3 linked regions of the Arabidopsis thaliana genome follow. The protein of the gene in region 1 interacts with the protein of each later gene in a biochemical or structural test. Each region holds a gene or a part of one and is shown in the gene's direction. Other genes may lie near its edges.

Region 1 (7,092 bases):
TCCACAATCTTGTCATCATAGCCAAGACAGTTATAATTCTGCAAAATTCCAGATGATGTAAAATTGGTTAGAAGAGACAGAAAAGAGTTATAAACTTATAATCAACTTAACACATTTTGTTTCAAGCATAGTCTATTGTCGCTTAAGTGAATTGGAAATTTGTTTCTATGTCTAGCAATGAGTTAAAAACTCACCCAATATCTATATGCCATGAGTTCAGCTGGAGTATTCTCGGGAGCAGAAGGACGAGAACCTAAGCTGAACTGCTTCATAGCCTCAATCTGAGCAGCTTCAGGATCCTCCCTAGCACTTAACTCTAGAGCCAACTGTATCTGATATTCTTCTTCAACTTCTGGATCCTTGGAATTACTACTAGAACCCAAACCCTGCATCCCAGATTCCGACCCAACGGGACCACCATGTTCCATGGTAGTGTCATCCTCTTTGCTATTGGTGGCATTGGAAGAAGAAGGGCTTTTCCTGTGAGTAACAGAGCTTAACCAATTTGATAAACCCAAAAAGGGTTTGAATTCAGAGTTATCTTGAGACCTCAATGAATCAGAAGGAGATGGTTCTGCATCACTAGACTTATTGCTTCTGTTAGAGACTGAACCTTCACCATCGTCTCGTTGATTGGGCGTGATACGAAGCTTTTTGAGAAATTTCTTCATGTTCATCTTCATACTCCAAATGTTAGAGCAGCGAACATCGACCCGAAAACTCCTTCATCCCTCGAATACACAGAAAAACGAGAACTTTGTGCTAAAACCCTAATTCCTTGGTACCACGACCCGGAGATCTGGAACTCCGTCCAGATCAACGGCTCGTCAAAATCTAATAACTGCAGCAAAAGAATTCTCGAGAAAACCTTAAATCGGAATCCAAATCAAGTAGCAAGACTCTCAATGGAGATCAGATTTCGATTTCAAGAAAATACTTTTTTTTTTTATCTCCGGAGCTGATCAAAAACCCAATAAGAGAAAGTTTGGAGCTTTTTTCTCAGCAAGTAAGCGAAGCCTCTTCCTTCTCTTTGACTCTCTCCTGAATTGAGAAAGTCCACAAAGACGCCACTTTCTCTCTCTTAAAGTCCGACAAAAGAAAATCAACTAAAAAAAACTTACGTAAAACAGAGTAGAGTAGATAGATAGATACGAGTATAGTAGAGGATGAAGAGTGGATTTTTGAGCTGGAGAGAATTGAATTTTGTTTTGCTTTTTTTTGCTACTGTAATTAAAAAATTACTCTATTTTTTGTACAATCAGTCAAAGCTTAATGCAAATATAGAGCTATTTAAAAACTTACCAATTCATTTTTAATGCAAATATATCATGCAAAACCGTACATTTTGTTAAAAAAAATAAGAAATGATAAATCGCAGAATTGTTTACGATCGTGCTTTCCATATTCAATATTCCTTCGCGTATCTGGATTTGTTTGATATCATTTATTCAAATAAAATTTTGTCTTTTTGGCTGAAAAAATGCTTCGCTCACCACCTTATGCATTATCCTCCCATGACATATCACATATATCATCAAGCGTATTATTCACTAAAAAATGCTTAGATTACGCTACTGTCGGATTCATTTATGACCCAATAACTATGATGTGCTCGAACCGCAACAGACTCCTGGACCTGCTCAGCTCATGATGAAATATATGTTCATATCATCAACGCGACCGAACGAGCAAGGCGTTTTTACTCTCTCTTTTTTTGTGTCTCAGATTCATAATTAGACTTTTAATTCCGGTTTGTAATGTAACATCTAACATCTTCTTAATTTCGAACCTTGTCCGGTTGAGTTTAATCCGTTTAGTGATTGAACGAAAATACATTTATTGTATGGGCCGCTTTGTAGGCCCATATACTCAATAAATGCATATGCCCGAATCAGGTTATCATTAACCGGTATAGACAAACCGGGTCGTCGAAATATTCCAAAGGTTTAAATATTTTGTTCTTCTCCCTCCACTCACTCTCTCTAATAATCAAGCAGGGGAAAAAAATAAATATCTGAGCATAAATAATGAAAAAAACATAAAAAGAAAATTAAAAAAAAAATGAAAAAATAGGAGAAGAACATGGTCTCCAACTCCGAAGGACAAAACCGAGAGACGCGGCGAGAAAGACGGTGACTTGACGGTAATTGTTTGGCTCTCAAGGAATTTCGGATACCCAATTTTGTAAATTACTAATCTTTTTCTTTTCTAATCTAGTAGTGGTCTATGGGTGGTGGTGGGAATCTCGTCGACGGTGTTCGTCGATGGCTTTTTCAGCGACCTTCTTCTTCTTCTTCTTCTTCTTCTTCCAACAATAATAATAATAATCACGAACAACCCATTTTCAATTCTTCTTCTTTCTCTTCTTCCTCTAACCCCAATCATTCCGCTAACTCTGGAGAGCTTATTATTGAAGAAGATCTCGATTTCTCTGGTCTAACGCTTATTAACGTTCCTAAACGTAATCATTTACCTATGGATCCTCACAAGAAGGTACCTTTCTTCTTCTCCTTCTCTACCCTTTTATGCTATTTGCTCTTAGATGTTGTCTTTTGATTGAGATTGAAGAGACTTGTTTTGTTCTCTTAATGTTCTGTGTTATTGCATTTGCTTCCACAAAAGGATAAAGTTTCAGTTTTGTGTTTCGTTTGATTGATCTTATTGTCTTGATCCATCATTTTGGTCAATTTTAAGTATGAATCATGAATAAAATTCTTCAGGGTGAAACTGAATTCTTCACGGAGTATGGAGAAGCTAACAGGTATCAGATTCAAGAGGTTGTTGGCAAAGGAAGTTATGGTGTTGTGGCTTCTGCTGTTGACTCACACACTGGAGAGAGAGTTGCGATCAAGAAGATCAACGATGTGTTTGAGCATGTCTCCGATGCTACTAGGATTCTCAGAGAGATCAAATTGCTTCGGTTGCTTCGTCATCCTGATGTTGTGGAGATTAAACACATCATGTTACCTCCTTCTCGCAGAGAATTCCGCGATATTTATGTTGTCTTTGAGTTGATGGAATCTGATCTTCATCAAGTGATCAAGGCGAATGATGATTTGACTCCTGAGCATTATCAGTTTTTCTTGTACCAGCTTCTTCGTGGTCTGAAATATGTTCACGCAGGTTAGTTTCTGGTTTTACACATTGGTCTCTTTCGATCCTCATGATTTTTGTTATAGATAATATTGAAACACTTAAGGGTTCTCTGTTTTCAGCTAATGTGTTTCATCGGGATTTGAAACCGAAGAACATTCTAGCTAATGCTGATTGCAAATTGAAGATCTGTGATTTTGGGCTGGCTCGCGTTTCTTTTAACGATGCCCCAACCGCTATATTTTGGACTGTGAGTCATCTAACTCAATGTGAAAGCAAAACTGTTCATTAGGCTTCCTCTTAACTATTTTCAAATGCTTGTGAGCTCATTTCGTTTATATGGATTTTGTAGGATTATGTAGCTACTCGGTGGTATCGTGCCCCTGAACTCTGTGGATCGTTTTTCTCCAAAGTAAGATTCTTTTTCACCAAACCCAACTACTCTTGCTATTTCTCCCTACCAGGAAAATGCTTCTAGTTTTCTATTTTGTAGAATATTGTTGTGTGGTTCTATAGTGTTGTTGAGAAGACCAGCCATCTCAAGCTAAGTCTACTCTTGTTATATTTCAGTATACCCCTGCGATTGATATCTGGAGTGTCGGTTGCATTTTTGCGGAAATGCTTTTGGGTAAGCCTTTGTTTCCCGGGAAAAACGTTGTGCACCAATTGGATCTAATGACTGACTTTCTTGGTACTCCACCTCCTGAGTCAATATCAAGGGTTAGTCACTCAAAACACTTGTTCATATTTTCTGTAGCAAATTTAATGTTCCATACATCATTGAGAGTAATTTAATCCTTGTAATGAGCTTTGCAATCTTGGACTTCTACAGATTAGAAATGAAAAGGCGAGGAGATATCTTAGCAGCATGAGGAAAAAACAACCAGTCCCTTTCTCTCATAAATTCCCTAAAGCTGATCCTTTGGCTCTCCGCCTTCTGGAACGCCTGCTTGCCTTTGATCCGAAAGATCGTGCATCAGCTGAAGATGTAAGTGAGAAGTAAATTTGCTTTACTTTTCCCTTTTGTTTTATACAGAACGAAACTCTTATATTCGTCGTTTTTGATTTTCATATTACAGGCACTAGCTGATCCATATTTCAGTGGTTTGTCAAATTCAGAGCGTGAACCAACAACACAGCCAATTTCAAAGCTTGAATTTGACTTTGAGAGAAAGAAGTTAGTTAAAGATGATGTCAGAGAATTAATTTACCGAGAGGTAACAAACAAACACAAAAGCCTTCTACATATATCCTTTTCTTTAATCTGAATTTGTTTCAATGTTATTCATTGATCCTAACAATCACTTTTCTTTGGATTTTGTAAATATCAGATATTGGAATATCATCCTCAGATGTTGGAGGAATACCTTCGTGGTGGTGATCAGCTTAGCTTTATGTACCCAAGGTTAGCTAATTAACAGTTAACAGAAACTATAAGTCTTGAAAACAGAAAGTTATGAACTCGATAAATCTTTTTGTTGTTTACGCGCAGTGGGGTAGACCGATTTAAAAGGCAATTTGCTCATCTTGAAGAAAATCAAGGTAAACCAGGAGCAGCAGGAGGAGGAAGAAGTACTGCACTTCACAGACATCATGCTTCCTTGCCAAGGTAATGTCTTTCACAGAATCTCTCTATCTCTTCTCTTCTCTTCTCAATCTCCCTCTGAGAGCATTGTGCTTCTCTATGATGATGTTGCAGAGAGAGAGTTCCTGCTCCAAATGGTGAAACTGCAGAAGAAAGCAGTGATGTTGAGAGAAGAGCAGCAGCTGCTGTGGCTTCAACCTTGGAATCCGAGGAAGCAGACAATGGAGGAGGTTACAGTGCTCGTAACCTCATGAAGAGTGCAAGCATCAGCGGTTCTAAATGCATTGGTGTCCAATCTAAAACTGACAAAGAGGTTAGTTAGTAAAGAAAGAAAGAAAGAAAAACAGAAGATCTTGAAAAGGAACATGACGATGAAGTTTGCTTACTGTTGTTCTTTTCTCTTTGTTTGCAGGATACCATAGCTGAGGAAGAAGATAATGAAACAGTTGCAGAGCTTACTGATAAAGTTGCTTCTCTTCACAATTCTTAAAAATGATTTAGTTATTTTTTTTCTTTTCTTTTCTTTTTTCACGAAAGTTTTCTGGTGAAAAGAAATTGGTTTCTCCATTCATCCACATCTATCTTCGTGGTTGGGTTTGATTTGTTGTATTTAATAGTTTTGGGGGTTTGATGAAACTTTAAATAAAAACATCGATCTCCATGTAATTTTTTTGTTTCTCTCTTTTCTTTAAACACTCATATTTTGAAATTATTTATATACTATTCAGTATTCACTTTGCTTCAGTACTTTGGGAGAGTTTGTGTGATTGGTATGATCCGGTCCAGGTCAAACCGGGATATTGGGTCTTATATAATAAATTATATTAACCTGAAGAACATACTCGACTTCTTAAAAGTAAAAAAGATAAGACTAAAAAATTAGCACACATAATAATAATGCTGTGTTAGTTGGCTTTTTAATGACGAAGACTAACCTAATATCTATTATTTATATTCCATGGTCCATCTGAATTGATACCATTCTTGGACTAATCTCATAACGACAAAATAAAATAAATAAAACGACAAAAAGAAGAAGAAAAAAAATGAACAAAATCGGGTTTTTGAAAAAGAGGTCAGAAATAATGGTATGGTCGAGTAAAGTGAGCTCCAGGGAGCTTACTCACCAACTCCAAACTACAGTCTCGATAAGAAAAAGAAACTGCAAAAAGTTGATGTATATATGGCGAACAAAGTCCACAGACGCCAGATTGGTTAAAGCAATTAGGCTACACTGTTTTTACATTATTTAGTAGAAATACTAATTGAATTTGTGCATGTTTAAAAGTGAAAAAAAACTAACATTATACTAATGGATCATGCCGCCAAACTTTGGAATTTGACTTCAAATTATGACCACTACAAATATAAATTAAAGAAAAAGTTGGTTTCATGTAAACTATAGGATCGTAAAGGAAGATTGTCACAAAACTCTTGACTAATAAAATTGGAAGTTAAAATGTCCGAAGAAAAGTTATATTACAAGTCTTTTCTAATCGCCAGTGAAAAGAAAATCGGTTCAAACTACATATTTTTTGTTCTCATAAAACGGTTTGTGGTCTTAAACATGCTGAAGATTCACATCCATTTATAGTTTTATTTTCGACTCCTCTATATCATTGGAGCTCACACATTTTCTTTTTGTTTTCATAGGAATCATTTTGCATTTTAAATCCATGTTAAATTTTTGCAAAGCATCAGTTTATGAGTTGTGTTCTATTTACGAATGAAAAAGGAGACTTGCATTTGTAGTATGTAATTCATATATTTTTTATCAGGTTTAAAACAGTTTGCAATTTCGTCCTATTATTTGTTCTCTTCGATGGCTCGCACCAACCCATGCACAGATCACATCACTTTATCGACCATAAAGTTTCAATGATTTTCCTAATATAAGACTTTTTAAAAGTATTCCATCATACATCTATATATCACTAATGTGGACTTCAAATTTCCATATTATCAGTACGAAGATTTAATAAGCGGAATTAACTACAAAGCCTATAATTCCATTTATATAAACAACATGTTTTGATCTCTGGTTTAAGAAGAGATTATATACTTTCGTCCCATACTTTATTGTTACAGAAACAGATAATGTGAATTTTTTATATATATGGTAACCATAATGCACCAAACGGAAACTCTAACAAATTCTTTTAATAAAAAATTGTTTGCAGATGACGCTTGAACCCAATTATAATATAAGGGAATTTTGGGTTTATTTTCCGACTTTGTAAACACTTCTTAATCACAACAGAAAACGTTAAAAAAGAAAAGGACATTAATTTGGACATATATATCATACACGTTTTTCATGTGAAAGTTAAATTTACCCCACAAATCCTGAATAAATATCTACTAAAGTACACATAACTTTTTACGTAACCAATTTTACATGCATGTGTTTCTTT
Region 2 (4,665 bases), about 16 Mb from region 1:
TCCTCCTTGCATGCGCCACGCTCTCCATCTCCATTTGGAATATTATACAGGTAATCAAAATTACGTTTCAAGATATCGATTTTCGAAAACAAATATTATCATTTGTAGATGAATCTACACACGTCTTAACTTGATTCTTAAGTAATGCATACACGTTTTAATTATTAATTATTTTTTTTGTTTTTGTTGGTCGGGTTATGTTATTCGGTATATCAGTTGGATACAGTCCAAAAATATCCTCAAGTGATGAAAGTAGTGTCTGCCTATAGTTTAGCTGGGACACTCCAATGTGCAATCTTCTCAGCGTTCATGGAGCCAGACCTAAGTGCATGGGAACTCAAACTTAACATGGACCTATATCTCATTATTGCCACGGTATATCTATGTGATCATATATTATAATTACTATATAGTATGTATTTCGTAATCTGAGGATGTGTATATATAATCATATATATTGTTCATTTATAGGGAATATTTGGGAGCATAATCAGAACAAGTGTTCAAGTGAAGTGCTCCAAAATGAAGGGGCCTTATTATGTGCCACTCTTCAAGCCATTTGGGATCCTTTGGGCTTCCATTTTTGGCACAAGCTTCTTTGTCAATAGTCTTCACTATGGAAGGTAAATATAATTTTCGAAAGTTATATTTAAACAACGAAGAGACTCAAATTATTCTCTAGTTACATGCGTTCATTTATTTTTAACCCAAATGCTTAATACCAAATCAAATATGCATATATGTTTGATATGACTTTTATTCCTGTTCAAATTTTATTATATACATATCTTAATGTGTTATATAAAAAATTTAAGTTGTCCCTTAGTTTCCTTTTTGATTTTTTCATATTTTAAAATAAGTAAAAAAGTTCAAACCAATTTTTTTTTTTTTAGTTTACATATCAATTTTCGATTTGAATATGATATGTTCAGGTTGTTAAATGTGAACTTCTTGTGAACAGTGTGTTAGGAGCTGCTATAGCAGGAACTGGATATCTATTGATAATGTGGAGTCAAGTTCAAAAAGATGATCCAAATGAAACGGTGGAGAAAAACGATAATCATCAATTGGATTCAGATGAACAGACAACTCCACTTTTGCTCGCGAATGGTGATTTTGATCAAGTTTAATTCAGAAATGGTTGTTCGCCTAATGTGTTTAGTTGTGTTATGTTAAACATAAATTAAGGGTAAGTAAATCGAAGAAATTATATATAAAAAAAAACATATGTGTGTGAAGCAAAACAAATATATATATAAAGTCTTGTAACGTTTTTTTGTATGAGAGGAATGTATCAAAGTCTATCAAAATTAAAAGTAAATTATGAGTTAAAATAAAACGAAAAAAATATAAGTTTTACTTTTTATCCAAATAAAACTCACGATGCAATCATATATGCAACCTCAAATGAGGACTAAATAGTAAATAGTTGTTACTTATATGAAACTACTTGAAGGTCCATCTTTGGCATTCGTCTCACTATAAACGGGAATGATCCGGTTGATCTAATTTAGTAATTTATATCAGTTCCAAGAGAATTTTCACAAACACTGAACCCAACCAAAACTCATTCGATATAATCAAACTACAATAAAAACAGTTCAAATAGAAAAAAAACCATAAATGACCATGAAAACAAATTGTGGTTAATGTTTTTGATATATAGCTACTAAAACAGTCAAAATTGTTTAACATCCAATTAGCTACATCTTTTTGCAGCACCCACCGCATCTGCAAAAAAAATGAATAAAATCCAAAACCGAGGTGAATGCTGAATCAGACACAAACCAGTTGTGGAGAGTTTGGTTGAAGACATGAATTCAAACCCGAAACAGACTAACCAAAAAGCTTTTCTACGAACTTTTCTTAAAAAGACACATTTGTTTAGTCATTAACTTAGAATAACTAACAAAATTATCTCTAAGCATTTGGAGGGTAATTATGCACTCAATTAGTTGCCAAATTATAAGTTGTATTGAAGGAGAAATTAGGTAAGAGGAATTCTTGATTTCGAAGGCGTTGGACTCGAATTACCCTATTTCTCTATCAATCCAACTTAATTTCGATTCTAGAATTCCTAGGGTTTGAAGAGTATGTTGGACGGTTTGTGGGATCTTATCTCTGAAAGCAGTGTTCTTATTGAAAAATTGGGAAAATCAATCGTCTCTCAGGTTTTTACCAATTACATGAGTTGTGAGTTAATTAAGGTTTAACGTATATGACCAGTTGTGTTTATGTTCTGCTTTGTGTTGTCCAATTATTGAGACCTTTTTTTTTTGGGCAAATCCAATTATTGAGACCATGTGTAAATGTTATTACTTTTTAAAGCAAATATGTAGGTAAATAAAAATAATTGACTTAAGCCAAATAATAAAATTGACAAAACCACTTAAGAAGACTGCGTCGATTTATAAAATATTTGTTGGCAATTAATTGAGGAAAAATACAGTTACGCGTTTCATAAAAACTAAATAAAATAGGATGAAGCAAAAAAAGGAAAATATCACTACGAGATCTAATGAAAAGACCTCACAAGATTTCGGACGCGCATATTAGATATGATTTTTTACGCATTTTCACCAAATTATGACCGTTGTGGGATTGAGGAAACCTAATCTTCTAAGTCTCTATATATTAAAGAATCATCATAGCCTTCTCGTTGCACTTCCCATTACGATCGAAAGTTCTCTGCTTTTTATCTCTCTCTCACGATTTAATCAAAGTTTCATCTTCTCTCTCTCTTTCAAAAGATGGCTCCTCGTCAGAAGAAACCTAACAAGTCCGATGATGATGATGGTGATTTGCATAGGAAGAAACAGAGCTTTTTCAAACAGAGATTTCCAGGCTTTAAGAAGAAAGCCTCAGAGCTCTCTGTTCTCTGCGGCAACTCTGTCGGTTTCATCTGTTACGGTCCCGACAACGATCTCCATGTTTGGCCTCAGTCTCAAGATCATAACCCACAAGCCCTACATGAGATCGTGGCCAAGTTCAATGCCTTGAGTGATGAGAGGAGGAAGAATCATGCATGTGATCTCAATGACTTCCCTCATCATCTCAAGGGTTTGTCTCGTGAGGAGTTAAGGAAGCATCTCCTTCACCTTGACTCTCAATTACTTGGAGTCAGGGAACAAAAGATAGAAATTCTTAAGAAGACGCTCACGGGTTCTTCCGAAAAAGATGGTGCAAGGGTTTCAGAGAACTCGGCCATCTCCGATCACAAGTTGAAGATAGAGCCTAATTTGACGGATATATTGTCAGAAGATCATCTAATTAGGGTTTCAGATAAGAAGCTGGGTTCGTGTGATGTATTTGACGAGTTGGCTTACGTGGTCCGCGGGTCAAGGAATTTGAACGAGAATGTTTCCAATTACGAATCAAAAGATGCAGCTTACACGGGAATGGATCATCTTGGCACTTTCGGCGGTAATTATCTTCAGGAGGCGGCGGCAGAACTTTACCAAACTTACAATCTAGGGAATTTTTGTGATGATCATGTTTGGGATCTGGAGTTTGCCTCAAGACTACCACCACTTCATACATTTAGCGATCCTCTCATGACCACCAATACTTGCCAAACGATGAGCTCCGATATGATTTCAATTTGATAACTTGATGACTACGTTAGTGAAATCATGTTTCTTTCACCTTTTCTCGGTGATTGATCATTTTTTAGTATCTCTTAACTTGTATGTTTGCTCCAACACAAATCCATGTTTGTAAAGTTGGTAGTTTTTTTTCTTGTTTATTATTGATTAATCAAACTTTTCCTTTCTTTCTGTTATTCTTTCTCTGTAACCCTATTTTGACTGCAACACCAACTTATCAGATAAACAAAACGTTGTAAACCATGCAAGAAACAAAGAGTTCATAACCTAAATTGCACAACTCGTTAAAGCTTCTAGAGCAGGGAATGAAAGTTATACATACTTGTTCAGATGTTAATTCACTGTCAAGTCTTGGAGATGCCTTGTTTTTAATGACGGATGACACGTTCTTTATGTCAATCTAGTGTTTGCTTCAGCAAGTCTTTCTGTCCCTCGACCTCGTGTTTACCAAGTCAACATTCCTAATCAGCATTCTCATAATTAGAACGAACTTCAGTGGAGTAACTCAACTGATCAACTTGTGACGTAAACACAAAATAAAGTACCCATGAAACTACATATAAGCTTTGTTCACGATCAAATTCATAAGCATATCCATGAATCAAATCCCCAAAACTTCAATTCTACAAGGCTTGCGATGCAATATAATTATTACTCTATATGCTATTTATTTGATTGCCACTGATTTGGCCACTACCACAAGTTTTAAAAAATTTGAGATAAAAATTGGCACATGTTCTCCCTAAAGTAACTGTTAGAACGTGACGACTAGTAGTTACCAATGAAAAGTTGGCAGACGTTCTTGCAAAAATATTAGCTAATGGTGAGTGACTAGCAGCTGCCAATGACAAAGCTAACAGTTTTTTTTTTTTTTTCTAAATTATCTAAAGACAAAACTAACAGTAAGTCCCCAAAAAATAACAGTTAGTTGTGAAACTATATACAGTATACTATCAATTAGCGACTGCTAGTACTGTCGAACCGACGACTAACGTCAGCTAGTTGAAGAACTTGCCGTCTCTTCTGGAACTCCGTTGGTCTATTTTTCAGCCAAAACACA
Region 3 (5,225 bases), on another chromosome or scaffold:
CTCGATTCATTCACTTGGAATGAAAAATGTTCTCATAGACATGTCAGTAGAAGAACGTTTTGGTTTGATTAAGAATCTGCTCTACATGATTATTACTTTTGAGTTTTCTTTTATATTTATTTATCAATTGTTTCTTGTTTGGCAAGACAATGTTTTTTAGTTGGTTAATGAATCTGGTTTCATACAAGTTCTATTGAAATAGATTTTTATGCATAATGGACTAGAACGTAATTTTACTTGGATATTTTCTAATTATTACGTTCCGTAAATATGATTTATCATATGACTTTCTTTTTCTTCATTTTGGTGCGTTTTAATAACTTCGTAACATTGACATACAATTGTTTTTCACGTAATGGTCATTCGAGACGTTAAAAATACCAAAAAAAAAAAACATGAGACTCGATATGGCTATATGCAAGGGATGAGATCTAAAGTGTTGACTTAAATTACTAACATATTAGGATGTAGTTGGTGTACTAGATGACGAAAGAATATATAGAATAAAGAATTATTTGTTACAATTAAGTTAGCCAAGTTTCCAAAAACATAAATAACATAACTACATACCTTATATCACTATATCATATATTGTTGTTGTATATACCTCAACTTAAGAAAAAGTGCAAAATTCAGAGTCAAACTAACGAGTGTTAGTCAACTCCGTAAAGATGCTGAGTCAGCAGACACGTGGAATCTGATGTGTCTAAAACGACATCGTTTTGAGTTATGAACGTTTAAAATGTTAAATTTGTTAGGTATTTTAATACCTAAACCACATATTTATTTGAATTTCCTACCTCAACTTAAGAAAAAGTGCAAAATTCATAGTCAAACTAACGGGTGTTAGTCAACTCCGTGAAAAATGTTGAGTCAACAGACACGTGAATTATGATGTGTCTAAAACGACGTTGTTTTGCGTTATGAACGTTTTAAATGTTAAAAAATTTGCAACATGCAGGATTCGAACCCACGTCTTTAAAGACATTTAACAGAATATCTAACCATTTCATCCAGATTATATATTTGTTAATATCTAACATTATCGATATTCTATCGCAACATGGAATCATTAATATCTAACAATTTCGAACATTTTCAATGTTCATAACGCAAAACAATGTCAAAGTAAATTCAAACTACACGAAGTAAATGTATTGTATGACCACATATACAAAGTATAGGACGTCATGTGGTTAACACCATAGACATACAATTCCGATAAACCGGTCAGTTGACTCCGGCGTTGACTAGGGTTGACCGGCGTTGACCAACAAAAAAATTCAAAAAAATCTTTTAAATTATTTTAAATATTCAAAAATACAAAATATTTTTTTTTTGGTTTTGTATATTCAAAAACATATTCTATATTTCAATGCATTAAATCTTAGAAAAATTAGTTTTACAAAAAAAATCAAAATTTAACTAAAAATAGATTAAAAATCATTATTAAATTTTAAATTTTAAATGAAAACAGGAAAATATTATTATAGTTAATTAAGTAAGGAAATTGCTTATTTTTATAGTGTCAATTAAAACACTTCAATTATTTCTATACAATATTTTTTATAAAAAAAAATCAACCACAAAAATTATTAGAATAAAACGTAATACAAATGAATTTTATTTTAAAAACTTTTTTGCTGAAATCAACATTGTTAGATTTTCTATCTTTTTATATATTAAAAAGAAAAATTGCAAGTTTTTGGTTGTTTATGTGTTACTACGAGAACTTTTCTTAATAATATTTGTTACAAAAGGAACTACATAGTATACAAAAATAAATTTAGACTAAAGAGTATATAAAAAATATTATAATTTTCTTTACCATGCAAACTTTAGATTAAAGAGTCATATACTCAATTTCATATTGCTTCCTAATACAATTGAGTATATGACTCTTTAATCTAAAGTTTAATAATGATTTTTATTCTAGTTTTAGTTTAGTTTTGAAATTAAAAATAAAACTAATTATTATAAGATTTAATGCATTGAAAATACAAATATATTTTTACGAAATATAGAATATGTTTTTGAATATATAAAAGAAAAAAAATATTTTCGTATTTTTGAGTATTAAAAATAATTTTAAATTTTTTTGTTGGTCAACGCCGGTCAACACTAGTCAAAGCCTGAGTCAACTGACCGGTTTACCGGAATTGTATGTCAATGGTGTTAACCACATGACGTCCTATACTTCATATATGTGGTCATGTAATACATCTACTTCGTGTCTACTTCGTGTAGCTGGATATACAATGTATAGTAGGTATGTGTGACCATGTATTCTCTTATACTTTGTTTACCTAGCAATCTTTTTTTTAAATTAAAATAAATATGCGGTTTAGATATGAAACTACCCAACAAATTTAACATTTTAAACGTTCATAACGTAAAACGACGTCGTTATAGACACATATTTTCCATGTGTCTGCTGACTTATCATCTTCACGGAGTTGACTAACACCCGTTACTTTGACTCTGAATTTTGTACTTTTTCTTAAGTTGAGGTATGAAATTCAAATAAATATGCGGTTAATATATGAAAATACCCAACAAATTTTTTTGGATACGAAAATACACTCAGAAAATAGTACGGGTATGAAAATACCCTTTTCCCGTATTTGATACATGTCTAATTCGGTTCAAATAAACCGAATATGAAAATTTTCAGTTTTATTTCGGAAGTTAAATAAATCTAGATAACCGACCTGAAAAACCCGAGTCCCGACCGAACCGAACCGAAATTAAATTCGGTTTAATTCGGAAGCATTTCCAAAAACCGAAATTCCCTAAAACCGAATAACCCGACCCGATTAAACCGATTTGCCGAACTCCCAGGCCTAAATTCACACTTGGCTTAGAAAAACTCTTTGTAGATGTTAAAATTCGGTAAAATTAACCTCACCAAAGCTAATTATTACCAGGTGAAGAAAGCATTAAAATTTCAAAGTGTGTATGACAGAGGTTTTAGAAAGCGACTGATGTACGGACATATCAACAACTCCCCTATAAAGATACTCAGCTAAACACAAAAACAGAATCTATTCTCAACACAACACTAAAGACAATTGTACCAACCACACAACCACAAGAGAGAGAAAAGTGAGAATGGGAAAGAGAGCAACTACTAGTGTGAGGAGAGAAGAGTTAAACAGAGGAGCTTGGACTGATCATGAAGACAAGATCCTTAGAGATTACATCACCACTCACGGCGAAGGCAAATGGAGCACTCTCCCTAACCAAGCTGGTACTAATCTCTCTATCTACCGATCCGTCTTTATATCTTCTACGTACAATAATTGTCTTGGCACACATAAAAGGTCTCAAGAGGTGTGGCAAAAGCTGTAGACTTCGGTGGAAGAACTACCTAAGACCGGGGATAAAGCGCGGTAACATCTCATCTGATGAAGAAGAACTCATAATCCGTCTCCATAATCTTCTTGGAAACAGGTTTTTCACTAACCACATAGAATTTTCTTTTTGTAGTAAAGTTATTTGTTATGTGACATTATAATTAAAGCAGATGGTCGTTGATAGCTGGGAGGCTTCCAGGCCGAACAGACAATGAAATAAAGAATCATTGGAACTCAAACCTCCGCAAAAGACTTCCCAAAACTCAAACCAAGCAACCAAAACGTATAAAACATTCGACGAACAACGAGAATAATGTATGTGTTATACGTACAAAGGCGATTAGGTGCTCAAAGACTCTTCTCTTCTCGGATCTCTCTCTTCAGAAGAAGAGTAGTACTAGTCCACTACCTCTGAAAGAACAAGAGATGGATCAAGGTGGATCTTCGTTGATGGGAGATCTCGAATTCGATTTCGATAGGATCCATTCGGAGTTTCACTTCCCGGATTTGATGGATTTTGATGGTTTGGACTGTGGAAACGTTACATCTCTTGTTTCATCTAACGAGATTTTGGGAGAGTTGGTTCCTGCTCAAGGTAATCTCGATCTCAATAGACCTTTCACTTCTTGTCATCATCGTGGCGACGATGAAGATTGGCTCCGAGACTTCACTTGTTGAGCCTATATTGCAAAAACCTACGTTAATACATATTTCTCTATACGGACAAAAGTATATCTGTATTTGTCTGAACGCTTCTAATTACTAACTTACTAAGGAGACCAAGAAATACAAATAATTATACGATCCACATGTTATAGAAATGGGTTTTGTCTTTAACTAATAATTTTTTATTATTGCAAATACGTACGACATAAATATTTTTGATAGATTTTGTAAATTTATGTATGAGCAAATGATAGAGCTTTTATTATAACCTAACCACCGCTTAACCACCCAACCTATAAATTCTACTTGTGAATTATTGGTAATACGAATCAACTTTACAATTTTGTTATTACGAAATATTACTAGAATATACATGTATAGTCTATTTATAGGCAGGCATAGTCATTAATGTAAGGAATTTGTTCTTCTCATTTTTGGAATCATCGTATAAATAAATACTAGATGCATGGTTGTTCTAAGTCATGTGCCAGTACATATTTGAAAAACAAAACAAAGGAATATTCCGGATTTTCCCCCTATCTCCTGTATTTTATGGGTACAATTTAGAAGTTTATGTATTTTAAGGATACTAAAAAATCATGTATTTTATTGGACATCAAAAAGTGTTTGTATTTTAAAGGAAACTAGATTCTGACCCGCACATACGTGCGGGGTTTCATATTTTAAGAAATGTATTAGAATACATTTTTAGTGAAAGATATTGTAGTGTATAAATTATAATGTGCATAGAAAAGTGTATAGTGTTATTTATGATATAATAACTAAATTTTTTTTATTAATTTATATTATTTATATTTCATTTGTGTTTTGCATAGTAAATCGAATGTTAGATTTGTTTTGATTTGCGGAATAATATAGAGATATTTGGAAAATCTGTGTATTTTTGTTAGTTTGATGTATATACAAATGAATTGTTTTTGTTTGAAATTTGATCAATTAGATGATATAATGTAAACTTTACTCCGCTGTACACCGTTGTTCGATTTTTTTGTAACTAAAAATTTGAATTTTAGGTTATAGTTGTTTTGTAAATATTGTTTCTTTTGTTTAGTGTTTAAGATTGTATAATTGTGTTAAAATTGTTAATTCTAAGATTACACTCGTAGATTATCGTCCCGTATGAGTATCAACCCAAACTCGTTCCACCAGATAACTTCATTCCGTAAAATTAAATATTATTTT

What was found.
Region 2: of the proteins of ATMPK8 (region 1) and AGL49, one has a biochemical effect on the other in vitro, tested with the Arabidopsis thaliana proteins (one large-scale study listed by BioGRID).
Region 3: of the proteins of ATMPK8 (region 1) and TT2, one has a biochemical effect on the other in vitro, tested with the Arabidopsis thaliana proteins (one large-scale study listed by BioGRID).

The regions. Positions count from the first base shown.
Region 1 is NC_003070.9:6,242,717-6,249,808, reverse strand, and holds ATMPK8 (Protein kinase superfamily protein), read left to right. Parts: upstream 1-1,996; 5' UTR 1,997-2,143; exon of another isoform or gene 2,144-2,217; 5' UTR 2,218-2,226; coding exon 2,227-2,493; intron 2,494-2,720; coding exon 2,721-3,123; intron 3,124-3,215; coding exon 3,216-3,343; intron 3,344-3,445; coding exon 3,446-3,505; intron 3,506-3,663; coding exon 3,664-3,813; intron 3,814-3,925; coding exon 3,926-4,081; intron 4,082-4,172; coding exon 4,173-4,310; intron 4,311-4,424; coding exon 4,425-4,498; intron 4,499-4,585; coding exon 4,586-4,702; intron 4,703-4,792; coding exon 4,793-4,991; intron 4,992-5,090; coding exon 5,091-5,168; 3' UTR 5,169-5,511; downstream 5,512-7,092. Other genes in the region: AT1G18160 (Protein kinase superfamily protein), read right to left, coding at 1-38, 195-683. UniProt on the Arabidopsis thaliana protein: MKK3-MPK8 and CAMs-MPK8 modules negatively regulates ROS accumulation through controlling expression of the RBOHD gene during wounding.
Region 2 is NC_003070.9:22,118,015-22,122,679, reverse strand, and holds AGL49 (AGAMOUS-like 49), read left to right. Parts: upstream 1-2,750; coding exon 2,751-3,605; 3' UTR 3,606-3,706; downstream 3,707-4,665. Other genes in the region: UMAMIT35 (Nodulin MtN21 /EamA-like transporter family protein), read left to right, coding at 1-50, 217-375, 472-623, 962-1,130. UniProt on the Arabidopsis thaliana protein: Probable transcription factor that may function in the maintenance of the proper function of the central cell in pollen tube attraction.
Region 3 is NC_003076.8:13,723,696-13,728,920, forward strand, and holds TT2 (Duplicated homeodomain-like superfamily protein), read left to right. Parts: upstream 1-3,047; 5' UTR 3,048-3,111; coding exon of another isoform or gene 3,112-3,175; coding exon 3,176-3,453; intron 3,454-3,526; coding exon 3,527-4,034; 3' UTR 4,035-4,266; downstream 4,267-5,225. UniProt on the Arabidopsis thaliana protein: Transcription activator, when associated with BHLH2/EGL3/MYC146, BHLH12/MYC1, or BHLH42/TT8. Involved in the control of flavonoid late metabolism in developing siliques.